2 linked regions of the Caenorhabditis elegans genome follow. The protein of the gene in region 2 purifies or fractionates together with the protein of the main gene of each other region. This does not show direct contact. Each region holds a gene or a part of one and is shown on either strand. Other genes may lie near its edges.

Region 1 (6,258 bases), on a different chromosome or scaffold from region 2:
TGGTGGACATTCCACTCCTGGACAACTTTCTGGTGAGGTTTTAAGAAATTTGTAAATTTTTGCCACATGGCTGCGTGAAAAGTTGGGGACCAAGTTTCCTATTCTCGCGGCCAAGGGTGTCAGTGTCCCGTAAAAATTACAAAAACGGGACAACGGGAATTCCCGTTCCCGTGAAAACGCTCAAAAACGGGACAAAAGACGTCCCGTTCCCGTAAAAATGACAAAAACGGGACAGCGGGAATTCCCGTTCCCGTGAAAACACCCCAAAAACGGGACAACGGGACAAACGGGAATTGACACCCTTGCTCGCGGCCACGACACCTTCATGTTTCGAAAAATTTTGAAGAGGAAAAGTGCTTTAATTGGTGGCCGAGGTTTGTTTCTTTCTAGGCTACGTTGCAAAAACTGTTACCTTACTACGTGGCCGTGGAATGAAAATACTCGGACACCAGGTGATTTTTTTTTTTGAAATTTCAAAATTTCAAAATCTATAAAACTATTTCTGTAATGGTGCGTCCATAGTCTGCGGAAAACGGGAATTTCCCGCGTGCGGAAGCGTCCATAGTCTGCGGAAAAACCGTAGTTTCCTCGCTTTTTTTTCCTCAAAATTCAAAAAAGTAGGCGTGGTCTTTTTTCGCTTTCCCATTGCTCAGCTTAAAATTTTACAACCTCTAATTTGTTGGACACGCCCACTATTTTGAAATTGACCAATAACAAAGCGAGAAACTCCTTCTTTTTTCCGCAGACTATGGACGCTTCCGCACGCGGGAAATTCCCGTTTTCCGCAGACTATGGACACACCATAAGAAATTCAAAAAACTTAAAATCTGAAACTTCTACATTATACAATTATAATATTCAGGTGAAATACTGTCACCAGGCTATCCAACCACATATCCGAAGAATTCCACGTGTAATTGGTTGATCCGTGTAGAAGCCCGACAACGAATCTACATTCGAATAGTTCATTTACACTTGGCCCCCACTATTGCAGAATGTGAACGAGCATCACTAACAATAATCGATGGATATAAACATGAAAAATATGGAATTGATCGAAAGGAATCCACGTCAGAGACGTCTGAAGCAAAATTCTGTGGAAGTCAGCTGTATTATGCAGAAGAGGGAATGAAAAGCTATTTATCAAGTGCAAATCGAATTGTTGTACGATTTATTACACAGGAAGGACCACCGTCTTCAATGATTGGGGAAGAGAGGATTGGATTTAAAGTTGTATGGACTGCAGTGGAGGGTCTGATTGGAGAAGGTGATGAGAGTGTTAATGGAAATTCTTGTAAGGATCAATTTATGTGCCATGGGGGACAAGTTTGTGTTGAACAGGTTTGTGAAAAATCAGAATGTTTTCAATGAATCTATATGTAGTTCCTTGTTATTTTTTAGAAATTAACTTGAATCATAAATTCAAAAAAAAAGAGTTGTTTAATTACAAAACTTTTTATTTAATCCAAAATTTTGGGTTAGTGTAGTCACTAAAGTACGCAAACGGAACTACAGTACCCAAAAACATCCCATTTCACGACATTTGCTAGTTTCGAGCTGGAAAATTGATTTTTGAACGGGAGAAAACATAAATTCGACAGTCTGAATATTCGAAAAAAAAGGAGAAATTCTAAAGTTGAACAGAACCTATTTAGAATAAATTTTGTTTTGTAAGAAAAATTAATTAGCCTTTTCGTGATTTGTATTTTTGATATTTAACAAATTGAATTGCCACAATGCTGAAATCCATGTATTTTCAATTACTTTTTTCTACTTCAGGGTCATGGAATTTGCGCTTCACGGTCCCGTCTCTGCATTCACAGCTCTCTCGTTTGTGACGGAATCCATAATTGTGTTGAAGGAGATTTCTCCGACGAGCAACACTGTAAGCTCATTTTCCAGTAAAATCCAAGATCTAAAAATTTCCAGGTTACTCCCGAGAGATAATAACATCGGCGGCACTCGGATTCTCGTTGATTGTGCTCACGATGCTCGTCTTGGTGTGCTGTGATCAGTTCAGGAAGCGGCGACGGCTTCGGGTGATGATTCGGGAACGAAGAGCCGCGTCGGAGAATGGGAAATGTAAAAATATGAATAATAATTCGATTACAACACGGATACAGCCGAACCGGTGACTATTAGAGAGCGAATTGTGAATGTTTTCGCGATTCGCTCGACAAATTTATCGAATTTTTCACAATTTTATAATTTAAAATTGCTTTTCAGTTAATGTAACGGAGCTTTTTTCTTTTATTTTTAATTTGAAACTTTAATAAACATTATTCAAACATATAAATTATTTACTTTCGACAATTTTCAAGTGTTTTGCCTGGCAGAATAGAAAGAATTATGGAAATATTAATTCTTTATCAGCGGGAAAGTAAAAGAAAAATAACGGCAACTCCGTGCGGCGATATTGCGAAAACCGCGCGCGCGCATTGCAAAGGGGCGGAGACTCGTCTTTTTGTCATCTTTTGTCATCACTAAAACTAACTAAAACAAAATTTTCTATATCTTTCGCAGGTTTTCGCTTTTTTAACGAGTTTTCTCATTCTTTCTATGGAAATACTGATGAATGTGTAGAGTTGGTCGATATTGGGACCTGTGAAATTTATACTTTCAGCTCAGATGTTATTCTTCGCTGTTTCTTCTTAATTTCTCTTTTTAATCACTTGAAACTCAATTATATCTTTATTTCAGCTCACTTCAAGCGGGAATGTCATCACGAGGAGTTCGAGCGGCGGGTACCGATGGGACGGACTTCCAAAATCGGCAGAGGGTCGCACAGCACTACCAGGAGAGCGCTCAATACAAGTCGATCCTCAAGTGGTTCTTCGTTCCACACTTCTTGATCCTGGTCTTCATGTGGCTCAAGGTTGGCAGCGAACTCCTCCGAACAAATTTCGGATGGAAAAACGCGTTCTTCGATCGACTGGACATGCCGTCAGCCTACCCATGGGAGTATGTGTGGTGCTTCTCATTCATTCCGATCGTCCTCGCCATCTATTCGTTCCAACGAAACAAAGTAATTTATTTATTGATCAATTTGCCACAAATATAACTTCTTATTTCAGCTCAAGATCCTCCACTACGCCTACTATGCCGAGTTCGTCGTCGGAATCTTCCCATGCATGATCGGGCTTGGAGGACAACTTCCAGAGCTGATGGAGTATGCTCAAGACATGGAGGGAAGCAACACACCGACATTCAAAGGAATCTTCCCGATGGTCATCATATGGTACATCTTCTTCGCGGTCGCACTCCAGATTCACGGATTCTCCATGTACTTCATGCATCACCTTGCCGCCGCATGGGCTCCAGTCAAGCGAGATTAAATTTTCTCCGTTTTGTGATATTATTTTTCAATTTTCCCCCATTTGTTGAGTTGTGTACCTTTTCCTTGTTAATAGTATTTTTATTCAAATTCCTGCTAGTCTCTATTGCCAAATTAATAATTCCATATCTTTTATTTATTTTCTTACTTTTTCTAATTACCGGTTACTGTTCTACAGTTCCGTTGATACTTTTCTGTTTCAATATTGATTGCATTTGTTTCATTTTGTTAAATCAATTTTCAGAATCGAACTCCAAAGATGTGGGGCGAGACATTCGACGATTTCGAGAATGACGAAGGAGAGATGGCAATGGCCAAGCAGAACCTGATCGCCGAGCCGGCTCGAGCTGATTTCACTTTCGCGAAGCTTCCGTTGGGAATCCAGCCCGTCGATTTCATGAAGACTCACTTCGCCGAGACCGCCGGAAAATCCATGCAATTCCGCAAAGGAACCACCACATTGGCGTTCGTCTACGAGCCAGCAACTCCAGCTGACAAGGGAGGAATCATTGTGGCTGTCGATTCACGAGCCTCCAGTGGTGAATACATCTCATCCAAGTCGGTCATGAAGATCTTGGACATCGGAGATCGTATGGTTGCCACGATGGCTGGAGGAGCTGCTGACTGTCAGTTCTGGACCCGAATTGTCGCCAAGTACTGCACGTGAGTTTCAATATTTTCAGCTTCAAAACAAAAATAATTATTTATTTTCAGTTTGTACGAGCTCCGCGAGAAGACCTCAATCACCGTGAGCGCCGCGAGCAAGTACTTTGCAAATACGCTCTATGGATACAGAGGACAAGGATTGTCAGTTGGATCGATGGTGGCCGGATACGATAAGAAGGGACCACAAATCTTCAAAGTCGACTCGGAAGGAGATCGTTGCCAGCTTAAAGTGTGCTCAGTTGGCTCAGGATCTCTGAATGCCTACGGTATCCTCGATAATCACTACAAGCCAAAGATGACGGACGACGAGGCCAGAAAGCTCGGCCTGCGTGCGATCATGCACGCCACTTATCGGGATTCTGGATCCGGAGGCGTCTGCAATTGTACGTGAAGCTTTTTGCTCGGCTATTCCACAAAATGGACCATTTTTCACTAAAAATGGCTTTTATTTTGTCTAAAATTTAAATTTTAGACGATTTTTATTCGAAAAAATTCTTCGGATAAATGAAAAAATTGGTTCATTTTGTGAAATCTCCGGCCACCTTTAATCTAATCGCTTCTATTTTTCATCCTCCAAATTTCAGTGTGCCACATCACGCCAACCGAAAAGATTCGTCTTCCACCAATGGACGTGAGCAAGCTGTGGTACGAGTTTGCCGATGAGCTCGGCAGAGATATCACCTACAACCCAGTCGAGTGATTCAATTTCCCTACGCTGAAATTAATTTTATTCTTCTTACATGTATTTGATGTCTGATCCGATCCCGATTTTTTTTACATACACACCCGTCTTTAAAATGTCATTTATTTCTATTTTTCGTTTCCAATTAATTTATTCTTCTTTTGCTAAATACTCTCTGTACATTAAGTTCTAAAGTTTTCAAGTTCGAAATCCCGAATTTAGGCTTAGAATTTAGAATTTCCCTCGACAACAGGGGTGGCTGGAAGAAACTCTCAATCACATGGCACAAATTGGATTTTTGGAACATTAATATCAAGTAGTTCTAGAGGGATACTGAGATGGAGTTACACTCAAAAGTTTATTGCAATTTTCGAATGTGAAAATCAAGTTAAAGCGATATGTGTCGGCTGGGTGTTGATGACGTGGTGATTATAACAGCTGGAGTCCCATTAGTGTTCCGCCACGCAGGGCCTATTCGTGTTCCAGCTGGAAATAGTTTAATTGTGCTATTATTTGAATTGTTTTTTTCCATTAAAATTGAGAAAAAGTGCGATTTTAAGAGTAATGGGTATCAGTAGGATCTAAATATTTTAGCTACCGTACCCAGGAATATTTTGCAACTTTCTCTAATTTTTTCGACAGCTTTGGATTGTACAGTTTTGGCTGAGAAAGTCAATGGGTAGTTCGAAATTTGCCAAAACTAAGTTTTCCGTAGATCAAACACAAAGGTTGCGCGCCAAATATGATGTTTTGAGTCCTCAATCGGAAAGTACGCAAAGACACACAAAATGCATCAGATTTGACGCGCAAACTTCATTTTTCTTGTTTGTGAAAAAAATATAATATTTTTTTAAAAACTTACAGGACATAGAAGGTGCCACAGATGCCCGTTCTATAAGCTCAATTTGCTGCTCTCTCCGCCTGGGAAGCATCGGACGGCGGCTCTCGGAGCCCACACTATCGCCAGCTTTATTATATATAATGGCACTGGAACGATCGAATTGTGGCTCCTTTTGCATATTATTTATAAAATGGTAACAAGCGGTAAGCATGACGCCCATGAAAATTCCAATGCAGAAGAGTAATCCGACAAGAATCCACGGGAAATCAGATGGCTTGAAGGAATAGGAACTTGGCTGGAAAAATCGAAAATTGGTAAGTGGTCAGCATGCGCGCTCTAATGTTAAAAGAAATATAAATTGTTGGTGTTGGGTCCTGCCGTTATCTAAATTGATATAAACATTTAAGCTACCATAGTCACGAATATTTTTTTTTTTTTTCATTTTGTTAGAATATTTTCGTCGTACAAACCGATAATCGGCAAAATTTTTAAAAAAGTTAAAAACTCTGTAACCGCGCTCCAATGATAAATAATAGAATTGTCGGGTCCCACCACAATCGAATCTTTTCATCTACCTTGAAATTTGCATAATAACAGAAATTGGAAAATTATTTGAAATTCAAAAAATATCTCATTTTTCAGCGGGAATTGGAATTTTACGGAAGCTGGCTTTTTCAGAGTCGATGCACCATGTGCAAAATTTTGACAGGGGATATCTCTTGGTTCATTTTGAAG
Region 2 (10,197 bases):
TCATTGGCTGACTCGTTGAGAAATATTCGAAAACTTCCAATAGCTGTGTTTGGATAGGCATTCGTATATCCCATCTTGAAATTTTGAATTGAAAACAAAAAGAAAAAAAAACTCGATGGTCTTACTTGAAAAATGGCAGTAATTGCAAGAACAGCAGATAATATGAGTAGTTTCCAATTGAGTTTTTGCATGTTGTCACTGGTTCTGAAACTTTTTCTGAAGAAGTGAATTTTCAATGAAAAAGAAACAACTTAAATAAGCCTTTTAACTACAAAATACTGAAAGAAAAAGCTGAGGAAATGGGCGAAACCAATGGGAAATTCATTTTCTATGGCAACACAGAACGTGTATAGTTGTAGCATAGAGTTCAAAAGAGCAGACATCAAAACGCACGGCTTCAAAGAATTTTTGAACAGACAACTCATTAATTAGAATAAGCTAAACACTTATTTATTTTCTACGTTTACTTAGTTTTTTGGGTAAAATTTTGGTAATTGTGAAGTATACCAGGTTCAAAAACATTTTGCAATACATTTTCCGTTCATTTCTTTATAAAACAATTATTTAATTAAAAACTGAAATTGATTTGTATTTCCATGCTCAAAAAACACTGATCCCGAGGATAATATGAACACAAAGGGTCACGGACACATTTTCAAAATGGTTAACATTTTTGGGCTAGGTATGTACTACACAAGTACCGAAATATAAAACATTCGAAGTAATGAGAAGTTCGTTGTTTCAAAAAAATAGAATGTTTCTTTTTCATTTTTTCTGCAACAAACATCTGATTGATTTTCAAACACAATTATTACACTAAAAGATTCTTGAAAAAGACCGATGTTCATTTAGGTTTTTGCAACAATTTTAATTGAAACCAAAGGATAGAATGAAAGATGCAAACGTAAGAATAGAAGTACAGAGCAAACACAAAATGTGCACACGAAAATCAATACGTTATAAGGGACCAACAAGTGTTTATTGCATCATAAAAACATTTATTTCAAAGGGAATGAAGAATGAAAAAGTGGAATTTAAATTAGAAGCATTTGTCCTGTGCTTCAAAAACGCTAGCCTTGTCCACATTCTCAATAGCATGGACAAATGTATTGTCGCTAAAGACAACAAATTGCATGGTCTGGAAATTGATAATATTGGAAATCCACATAATGGAGAAGATTATTTACTTTGCCCCTTGCCCCCCGTTTCTTTTAATCTCATATTTCCTCCCGAAAGTCCAAAAGATGAGAAATCAATCACCGGCGTATTTTGTTGTCTGATAAGATTCTCAACACTACAAAATGCGGTTTTTTATAAAGAATTTCTATTACGTAATGTATTCAGAATAATTGCTCGTTGATTTTACCTGAACTTCTGAGCAGTTGACAACCACCATTGTGCTGTTGTCTTCCTTGTCCATCTATAAAAATCATAAGTTTAAAGACAAAATAAGCGATAAGCCTACCTCACGCCCGTAGAGACCAGAAACAATTCCTACTTGAACATATTTATTGTTTTCTACATCCAGAACACATTCCAGTGGTGCTCCTATATCATCCTGAATTTGAACAATTACTTTTTATAAAAACTAAGTAATGCAAAGTTTGAAAGTGTGTATTTCCAAAAAACAACAAAAACGCTTACCCAGCAAACACGACCTGTAGAGTTACTGTTAACTTCTGAGAACATGAGATTTTCTGTGTCAGCGTGAACATCAAGATCCAATACTTGGACTTTGTGTGAAGTAGCGAAGTCTTCCACTAAAAATATAATAACTTATTTAGTAGCTACATAGTTTTGTAGTTACGAACCATCTTCCGTAGTTTCAAATCCAATCACTCTACATTTGGAATCTTGAAGATCCCTTGGCACAATTGTACGGTAAGTAGCATCAGTCAAGCTTGGTTTGAAGTTGAGCCGTGCAACTCTTGGTGGGTGTGGCTCCTTATCGCAAAACTATAAAAATAATTTCTCTAATAAGAGTTGCAAATACTAGAGTCTTTTTTACATGATCTTCATTAACCGCATCGATTTTCATCAGAGCCAAGTCGCCGTCAATTTTCACAGCAAGCATTGCTTTGTTCATGGTAGCAGAGGAATCCTTCTTTTTGATAATAGCTTGTGCAATAAGGTTCCTAAATAAATATTAAATTGCCTTCAAATAAAAATCCATTTCAGCGTTTCTTCTAAACCAACAGTTGCTATACATATATTTCTATAAACTATCTCTGGCATAGTTTCGTCTAAGTTTTCAATCGAAAATTGTCAGCACATTCCGCACAACAAGCCAATTCACGAATCTTTTGCGTAGTCGAATTCAGAGCAGAAAAAGTGTAAAATGTAAGAGACTATAATGCGCTATGTTCGTTCGTAAGCTTCTTATTTTGCTACGGGAATATTTAAAAATTTGAAACCATACTTTCTGGTGTCTGGGAAACATTTCGAGCTGGTTAGCACAACGGATGGAGACAAAAGAGTTCCCGTGCAAGTTGAGATATTCTTCAGTTTGGTATCCTTAGTGAGTACCTGAACATAAAACATAAAATTCGAAGCGAGTTGAGCAAGTCTTACCTTCACCAAGTACTGATGGCGTTCCCATTTTGCCGGGTCCGCAATGTACATTGAAAACACGAATGCAAGTAGAGAGGAAACGATGACCGCTCGAAACATCTTCTTTCGATCAAATGATTCGAATGAGGATTTGACCCGACGAGCATCGCATTGATATTGTTGTAATATCCGCTTTCAGAAAAATCAAGCAAATGCATTCTTTAATACACCCACACATCAAGAAAAAGAAAATATTTATTGGATAGAGAGAGGCAAAAAAATGTTTCAAAGATTCATCACAAGTTTGACAATATTTGAAAATGAAATTTTGAAAGCTCTCATAGTCAAAAGCTAAAAAATAAATAGCAGAAAAAGCGAATCGACTGATTTGGAAAAAAATATACCCAGAGTTTTGAATATCATAATGGTGATTGGAAACATTTTCAATAAATAACGGGTAAACTTGGCATATGAAAAGATTAATTTAAAGTTCCGTGTGAGAGTCATCATTTTCAGAAATGACATTATCCGAAGGGTTATCAGAAGAATGTCCAGAAATGACTTCCCGGATTTCGTCATCATACGTTTTCCATTCTCCAATAATTCTGGCGGCTGAGTCGAGCTTTGGCTCTTTTGTGAGCGGGTTGTTGCACTGAAAATTGTTAATTGTTCACGGAAATTTAAAACAGATCAATGGCACAGCATTTCAGTTGTGTTCAATCAACTTACCAAGTCAATAGTCTTTGCATTCTTCTTGCTTCCATCATCGCACCAAGTCTCACACCAAAGCCACTCTTGTGGAAGCGATTTGATCTTAACCTGATGGATCATGTTATTTGGCAAGTCTTGATCCAAGTTAGCCAGACTGTTTGGATCGCCAGATAGTCCTTGATATTGTCCACGAAGACGATCTCCGGCAGCGATTTGACGGAACTTTTGAAGATCAATAACGTAGAGAGCACTAATGTGATATCTTCTCCCAGCGAGATGGTTCGCCCAATATCCTTGCTTCCAGAATCGGAATCCGTCCATCTCCTTTCTACTTTCACAGAATGGCACATATCCGTATGGCGCATTTCCAAGATCAAACTTCATCAGCTCCATCAAATCAGCACGCACCACCTGGTCAGCGTCCACAAAGATCACCTTTTGAACATCAAGTGGGAAGAGTACATCAAGGAAAAGAATCTTGAATCCCCACATAATACGTTGTTTCTCCTTCTGCTGGTGAAGCCACCTTGGCCACTTGTACTCGATCAGTTCATACTCGAAACCATAGTGCTTGGCAAGAGTTGGAAGTGTCTCTTTGAATTGTGGCGACAGGTAGTTCTTGAGAAGCCAGAATTTAACTGGATGCTTCGTGTTCTTCATGACCGAGACAATCATGATTCTCATGAACCGTTCGTACAAGTGACCGGATGCGAGAGAAAATACATTGATCACTTCCTGGGTTTTTTCTTTGCTGCTCACCAAGCTGAAAATAACATTATGAGATTATTTCAAAAGAGTTTAAACAAAATGCTTACTTGCTAAGACTGCTCCAAACACCTTCTTCATCGTCGGAAAGAAGATTTCTCTCCTCCATGCCTTCACGTTTTTCAACACGAACTCTTACTGATTTACCAGTGAATGAGTCAATAACAACTTGAAGCACATCCTCCCCAATCTTCTCCGCTCCAACATGCGATCCAATCTTGTAAATCTCACTAGATTTTCCATCACGGATCTCTAGTTTCCAAGCACCAGGATTTGCTTTAAGTTGGAAATATCCTAAATTAGCCATAACGATTGTATCAAATTGTTTAGGGTTCTTGTCCGTTCCCAAAGTGAACTGCAGACCGCGTGGTGGTTGACCACTAACTTCGTCGAAACACTGTCCATCGAGAAGTAAGTGTTGGAGTGCAAACTCGGCAGTGACATCTCCGTTGGCTTGTTCCATCTTGATGTTATCCAAATCATACTTGGCAGAAACGGCTTCCACTATCCATGAGTCGGGAGCTTGCAGCGAAAGTGTCAGAAGTTGCTTACTGGGAAGATTATCGAACCTGAAATTGTGAAATTGAAATTGGTTTTATTAAATAGAAAGTATTCACCTGACAACATTTGTGTTCAAGTTTCCATTGTGATCGAAACTCAATTCAGAAGCAGCAGCGTATCTGTAGAATCTCTTCAACGGAAGTTCAGAGTGCTTATCTTTTGGATTCATCACAATTTTGATTTCGCAGTTTGTAACCTTTTTAATCAAATGGAGAATCGATCCGAGTTTTTGTGCTTCCATAGTGAGTGGATCAACAACGGCAAGAACGTCAACAGCTGGTCGATCCATTTCATCAGCTGGAAGTGTGACAACACTGTGCTCATCTCCTTGGATGCTAACCCATGTGCGTTTCTGTGAAGAAGCGTGCTTTCCAACGTGTCCAGCAATCGAGAAAACCGTGTTTGATCCAACTCCGTTGGAAACGTCAAACTCCCACTTCTTGAGATGAGAAGAAATAACTTCAGCACCTCTGCTCAACAACATACTTTCCAAAAGTTTGAAATCAGCAGCTTCGAAATGTTCTGAGCTTTCAAGAGGTCCAACTTGGAGAGCATTTCCAACAACAACACGGCCACCAGATGAGATATCGAGTACTTTTTTCACAATCTGAGACTCCAATCGAGTTCTTTCACAGTCAAGTTTCTTCTTATCGGCAAGGAATTTAGCAGTATCCATACCACCAACACTAAGATCGTCAAATGTGATTTTTCCAGAAATGAAGTCAGCTGCATACTCCTCATTGCTCAACTTGAGAATCAATCGCTTAGCTTGGTCCATCGGAAGAAAATCAAGAGCAGCTCTAATGTACGAAGAGATGCTGTTTGACTCGCATGCCTTTTCAACACTTTCTGGATTGAAGATGATTCCAACTCTAGAGTTGGCAGAGTTTTTCAATATTTGAAGTGAATTGTAAATGAAACGACGTCCCGATGCAGCCTCGGCGTCAGCGACCACCCATAATGTGACTGGCTGAAAATTTATATGCATTCAAACTGAACTGAAGTAAAGTTCTTACCAAAATAGAATCGGCTGATGCTTTTTGTAAGTACTTTGTAGTTTGGAGAAGACATCCAGCTTTGTCCGAATCCGAAAGGTTTTCCACATCCTTCAATGATTTGCAATCCATTGATCCAAGAATTTCAACATAGGTCTTCTTGCTTGGAGCGGATAAAATTCGCTTGTTAATTCTTGGCATGACATCCTTTTGTTCGAGAACCCAGTTTCCAACATTCATACGGTCGGTCAGTTTTCCTGAAAAGTAAAGAAAAATGTAAAGAGGAATCGAGAGTGCTTTAAAAAAAGTATACCTTCCATAATGGCTCTTTGGATTTTTGGAGAGATCTTCATAACTTCCATCATAATAGTCTCTTCAATATTGTCGCCGCGAACCCCTTCATCGTCCAAAATGAAACCGTTGAGGAGAACCTTCGGTGCCGAGTTAAGACCAGTCTTTTGCACAAATTCAAATCCATGCTTGCGTCCTTTATCATAATCAGAGTTGACTCCAAACACATCGGAGAAGCTGGCATCACTGAATTTAGCCTCGAAGAATTCTTTGATATCCTCAATAGTTGGGTCTTTAGAGCGATAGTCATCAAGGAAGTTGTTGAGAACTTTCAGTGCATCGGCATTTGAAGAGTCGATGGAAACAAAGTTGAAGAGATTGAGAAGGGCAACTCCAAGATCTGTTTCTCCACTGGCTTTAGTATCCTGGTTAACAGCAAAGATGTATCCGATTCTCATAGCAATATCGTGACTGTTAAATGTCTGCCCAATTCTAAGGAATTTCCGGCCTTCGGAAGTACTTGGATCCACTACGAATACCAAACTGAACAAATTACGTGCAATTGGTCGGATCATTCCCGGGTAGTATGGTTGGAGCATAAGCTTGACACTGTTTCCCCATTGTTTGTACTTTTTGTCAGTGTCCAGATTATTGATAAACTGAAATTGGTTTTTGAGAAAAGTATTTTCTTCGTAAGCTTACGAATGGATATCCCTCTCTGTGATCGACTGCATAAGTTGTCTTCTCATCATCAGAAGTGTCCATTCCAACAAGAATTGACAAATACTCGCGCTGAAATTTCTTTATTGTTACACTTATTTCTGTATTCATGGAAACTCACGTTAATTCCCATACTATGGAAACCATCGGCGAGTTTATTCTCTTGCTTGAGGAGATCAGCTAACTTGAACAAATCAAGGCTGTTAATATCTTGATTGATTCCATTGATGTACAACGATGTTTCTCCAACTTCAATGCTTGCCTTCTCTAGCATCTTGCGATTTTGGAGAACCTCTTTCCTTAAAAGATCTGAGACTGACGTCTTTGCAAGAGCACGAGCATGAGTTGGGAAGTTTTGGGAGTATTCCTCCAGAGTTCCAATAGCATCAGCTGGCCCTGCATTGACAATTTTCTGCGCTGCTTGGTAACTGAGATCTTGAAGTTCCCATCTTTTCAATGGAGTCAATTCGTCGGATTCCTTTAGGTTCACACGGAATGATTCAATGGCATCTACGGAATCTGGGTGAAGTTCTTTGAGAAGTTTAATGTTGAATCCAAAAAGATCAGCTTCGTCTTCTTCTACATTTTTCTTTTCACTGCTCTCGTCGACAGCCTTGTACTCCGTGTTCTTGATAGCAAGTTCTACACCGTATCCGGAAAGTGACACTGGGTGAGAATCAGTTTTCTGAAAATACTTCCTTAAAATGGGGTTTCATTTTCCATTTTAAGTATACCTTTGAAAAATGACGGAAAATGAGCTTGGTCTTTTGCAGTTTGCTCAACTTTTCCCAAGCTTTGGCGAAAGAAGTTGTACCCAGCTCTCCGTACAAAATCGCTGCCTGCTTCAAATCCTTCTCACCAAAAATATGATCCGACTCAAGCACTTGGCTGTTCGTTTTTGCGTCCTTGATCATTTTTTCCAGCTTAGTGTATTCACATGAAACTTGTTCGCCGACCACGACAAAGACATCACATTTCTCTCCATATTCAACAGCAATCTGGAGAATTTAATGTTTTTCATCTAATAAAATTCATTAGTATAAAGAAATCACCTGCTGGAAGGATTGAACACGTGGAGAATACTGGCGAAGAGCCAAAGCAAACTTGAGAAGGTCCACAGATGATGTTGACAGTACTTTGCCTGCCGTCTTGATTGTGTACTCGTATTTTTGCTCATCCGTTACTGAAAATCAAAGATATCATATTGCCGATTATTGACAATTCACTCACATTTTTCCCAATTCAATGTACCGACATCTTTGTTTACAATATCGATGAATTTTACAAACAATTTCTCATTTTCTTCCGCGATGAACTCACTGAAAAAACGCTTCGTATTTTTTCTAAGACTTTTAATAACTAACCTTGCTTCGGCTAAAAGTGACGTTGAATCCCAATTTGCTTTAAGAGATGTGTGAACTCCTTTCTTTTCGAGAGCTGCGAGAACCGCAATATGGCAAAAAAATATTAATAAACCTGTTAGGTTCATAATTACCTGGAAAATTGAAAATTTCATTTTTTTAAAGTTTCTTCACAGAAAATAGCAAGACAAATAGAAAGAAATGTGTTATTTAAAAAATAAAATTCTAAAAATGAATAGTTTGTGAATGCGTGCCAGTAATGCTGACGTCGGCTCAATAAATGCGTCAGTGATCGCCTTTGCACGTTTGGTGGCTGTGCACAACCACGTCGGCCACGCTCGCAAGGAAACATGAGGGAAGGGGGCAACGAGAGTGTTCATCTATTCAAACAAGGAGAGGATTAGAGAAAAAGGGAATGTGGAAAGAGTCTCCATAATTAGATGTCGAAAGGCTGCTCTTGAATAAAAACGTCATATTATCGATTTGGAAACTCCTAAAAATTATAATTTTTGTTAAATGCCTATGTACTGGAATATACTTTGATAGATTTTGAGTTGCAAGGAACATTAAGACAGAATACGTTTATTTATATTAAAAATATTTGACAAAAATACTGAGATGAGAAAAACTGACATTTTAAAAACCAAAAAAAAATGCATTAGAAATGAAAAGTTTTAGATGGGAAATTTGACGTGAAGAAAAAATTCCATCTGATTATCAAATTTGTATATTACTTATTTATGTACAATCTTTTGATTAAAAAATGATACAACAAATTGTAGAAAAACAAAAAAAAACGTTTTGGTTTCCCTTTAGCAACATCTTTAGAAATTTATTTAGAAACTATTCAGTTATCACAATTATCTAACGTCTCATCACAATCATCCTCTCCGACTTTTTCCCAGTCTTCATCTGAACTTGAATACTCGGATTGGTTAACTTCGTCACCTTGATGAGATATGTTGTAGTTGAGTTTATTGTACTCTTTCTCCCAATGGATATGAACACGAATGTCGTTAACCAGCACAGCATACAAATCTTTAATACTTATAGCAGTTACAACGTTGTAGTACAGGTTGAACAGCCATCGGTCCTGAAACAACGATATGATAAATGTATGCCAATTATGCTTAAAACATACTCCTGGTTCTTCTGATGGTATGAACGTTGATATGTAAGCTGTTGACGCTAAGATGCTTAAAGGCATAACAAGCGTCCAGCGGTAAATAAAAACACATTGTTCGGCTATATTAGTTACGAATGAAACGTACACCATCATCATCACAAGATTTGATATGACAAACAAGGAATATGAACCCTGAAATATGATTTTTTGAATCATTAAAAAAAAATGTGTCTAATATAAAATATCTAATATCTGGACAAAAAAAAGACGAAATTCACAACTCACTCTTGGGTGCCAATTCCATTTCCAAATAGTAACTTGACAGGCAGTACTTATACCAATGACAAGAATATATCCTACAATAAGGCTTCTTTTCCATGAAGTACCAAGTTCTCGAAGGTCGCTTGGTCTAGTTGCAACTCGCTTTTTGATGGTTGAAGCGCAAGCAAAAATACAGAAAAGTGCAGCAATTAAGGGTGCTGGATAAAACTCTTCAGGGTTCCATAGATTCTGTACCGTACTGGGTTTGCCCATGACAAAACTGATAGCTGATGTAAAAGTTATCAATGGGCCAACCAAGTAACTGTTCGAATATTGCCATTCAGCCATTTTGTGCCGAAGTCTCCTAGTAGAACGGAACACCCAAATGAATAGGAAGAACAGTCAGCAGACGAGAGCAGAAGGGGTGGTCACTTAATATGAGAAGAGGGTCGTCAACACATGACGACGTGGCAGATGTCGCTTATCTGCATCTGCTCAGAGACAAAGAGACAGGTGAAGAGAGCAAAAAAAAACGATAGAAAACTCCGATAAACATAAAGTAATTCAGTTATTCAATATTCAACCAAAAAAAAGGTTTTGTTAGGTTCGAATGTTTTGAAAATCCGAGTTGTCTCTTTTGAGAGCGTGAATAAATCGTTCCAGTTTTTATTGAATATGTTAACACTCTGAAAAACACTGGTAGTAGCTGATATCACATGCCAAATGGCAGCGTGTGAAACTTGAAAACTGAAGGAAGTGAGAAAACAAAATGTCGAGCTTCATCTAATAATATGATTTTGGGTTTTGTGCCCTGTATCATGTTTTCTTGGTAATTGTGGTTTTTGCCTGGCAGTCA

Evidence for each region.
Region 1: the proteins of uggt-1 (region 2) and pbs-5 fractionate together in Caenorhabditis elegans (co-fractionation; one large-scale study listed by BioGRID). This does not show direct contact.

The regions. Positions count from the first base shown.
Region 1 is NC_003279.8:14,717,798-14,724,055, reverse strand, and holds pbs-5 (Proteasome subunit pbs-5), read left to right. Parts: upstream 1-3,578; 5' UTR 3,579-3,593; coding exon 3,594-3,997; intron 3,998-4,048; coding exon 4,049-4,383; intron 4,384-4,584; coding exon 4,585-4,700; 3' UTR 4,701-4,889; downstream 4,890-6,258. Other genes in the region: sol-2 (CUB domain-containing protein), read left to right, coding at 1-32, 863-1,341, 1,780-1,885, 1,930-2,135; K05C4.2 (Protein jagunal homolog), read left to right, coding at 2,717-3,025, 3,075-3,335; Y54E5A.8 (Conserved plasma membrane protein), read right to left, coding at 5,071-5,168, 5,545-5,818. UniProt on the Caenorhabditis elegans protein: Component of the 20S core proteasome complex involved in the proteolytic degradation of most intracellular proteins. This complex plays numerous essential roles within the cell by associating with different regulatory particles.
Region 2 is NC_003284.9:7,492,895-7,503,091, forward strand, and holds uggt-1 (UDP-Glucose Glycoprotein glucosylTransferase), read right to left. Parts: upstream 8,089-10,197; 5' UTR 8,083-8,088; coding exon 7,958-8,082; intron 7,913-7,957; coding exon 7,824-7,912; intron 7,777-7,823; coding exon 7,646-7,776; intron 7,592-7,645; coding exon 7,328-7,591; intron 7,279-7,327; coding exon 6,715-7,278; intron 6,666-6,714; coding exon 6,576-6,665; intron 6,533-6,575; coding exon 5,896-6,532; intron 5,840-5,895; coding exon 5,604-5,839; intron 5,558-5,603; coding exon 4,644-5,557; intron 4,596-4,643; coding exon 4,077-4,595; intron 4,025-4,076; coding exon 3,280-4,024; intron 3,203-3,279; coding exon 3,035-3,202; 3' UTR 2,800-3,034; downstream 1-2,799. Other genes in the region: F48E3.2 (Major facilitator superfamily (MFS) profile domain-containing protein), read right to left, coding at 1-74, 126-191; try-14 (Peptidase S1 domain-containing protein), read right to left, coding at 1,040-1,138, 1,367-1,420, 1,466-1,558, 1,645-1,760, 1,812-1,956, 2,009-2,135, 2,420-2,526, 2,572-2,670; F48E3.6 (DUF4220 domain-containing protein), read right to left, coding at 8,802-9,047, 9,096-9,272, 9,366-9,614.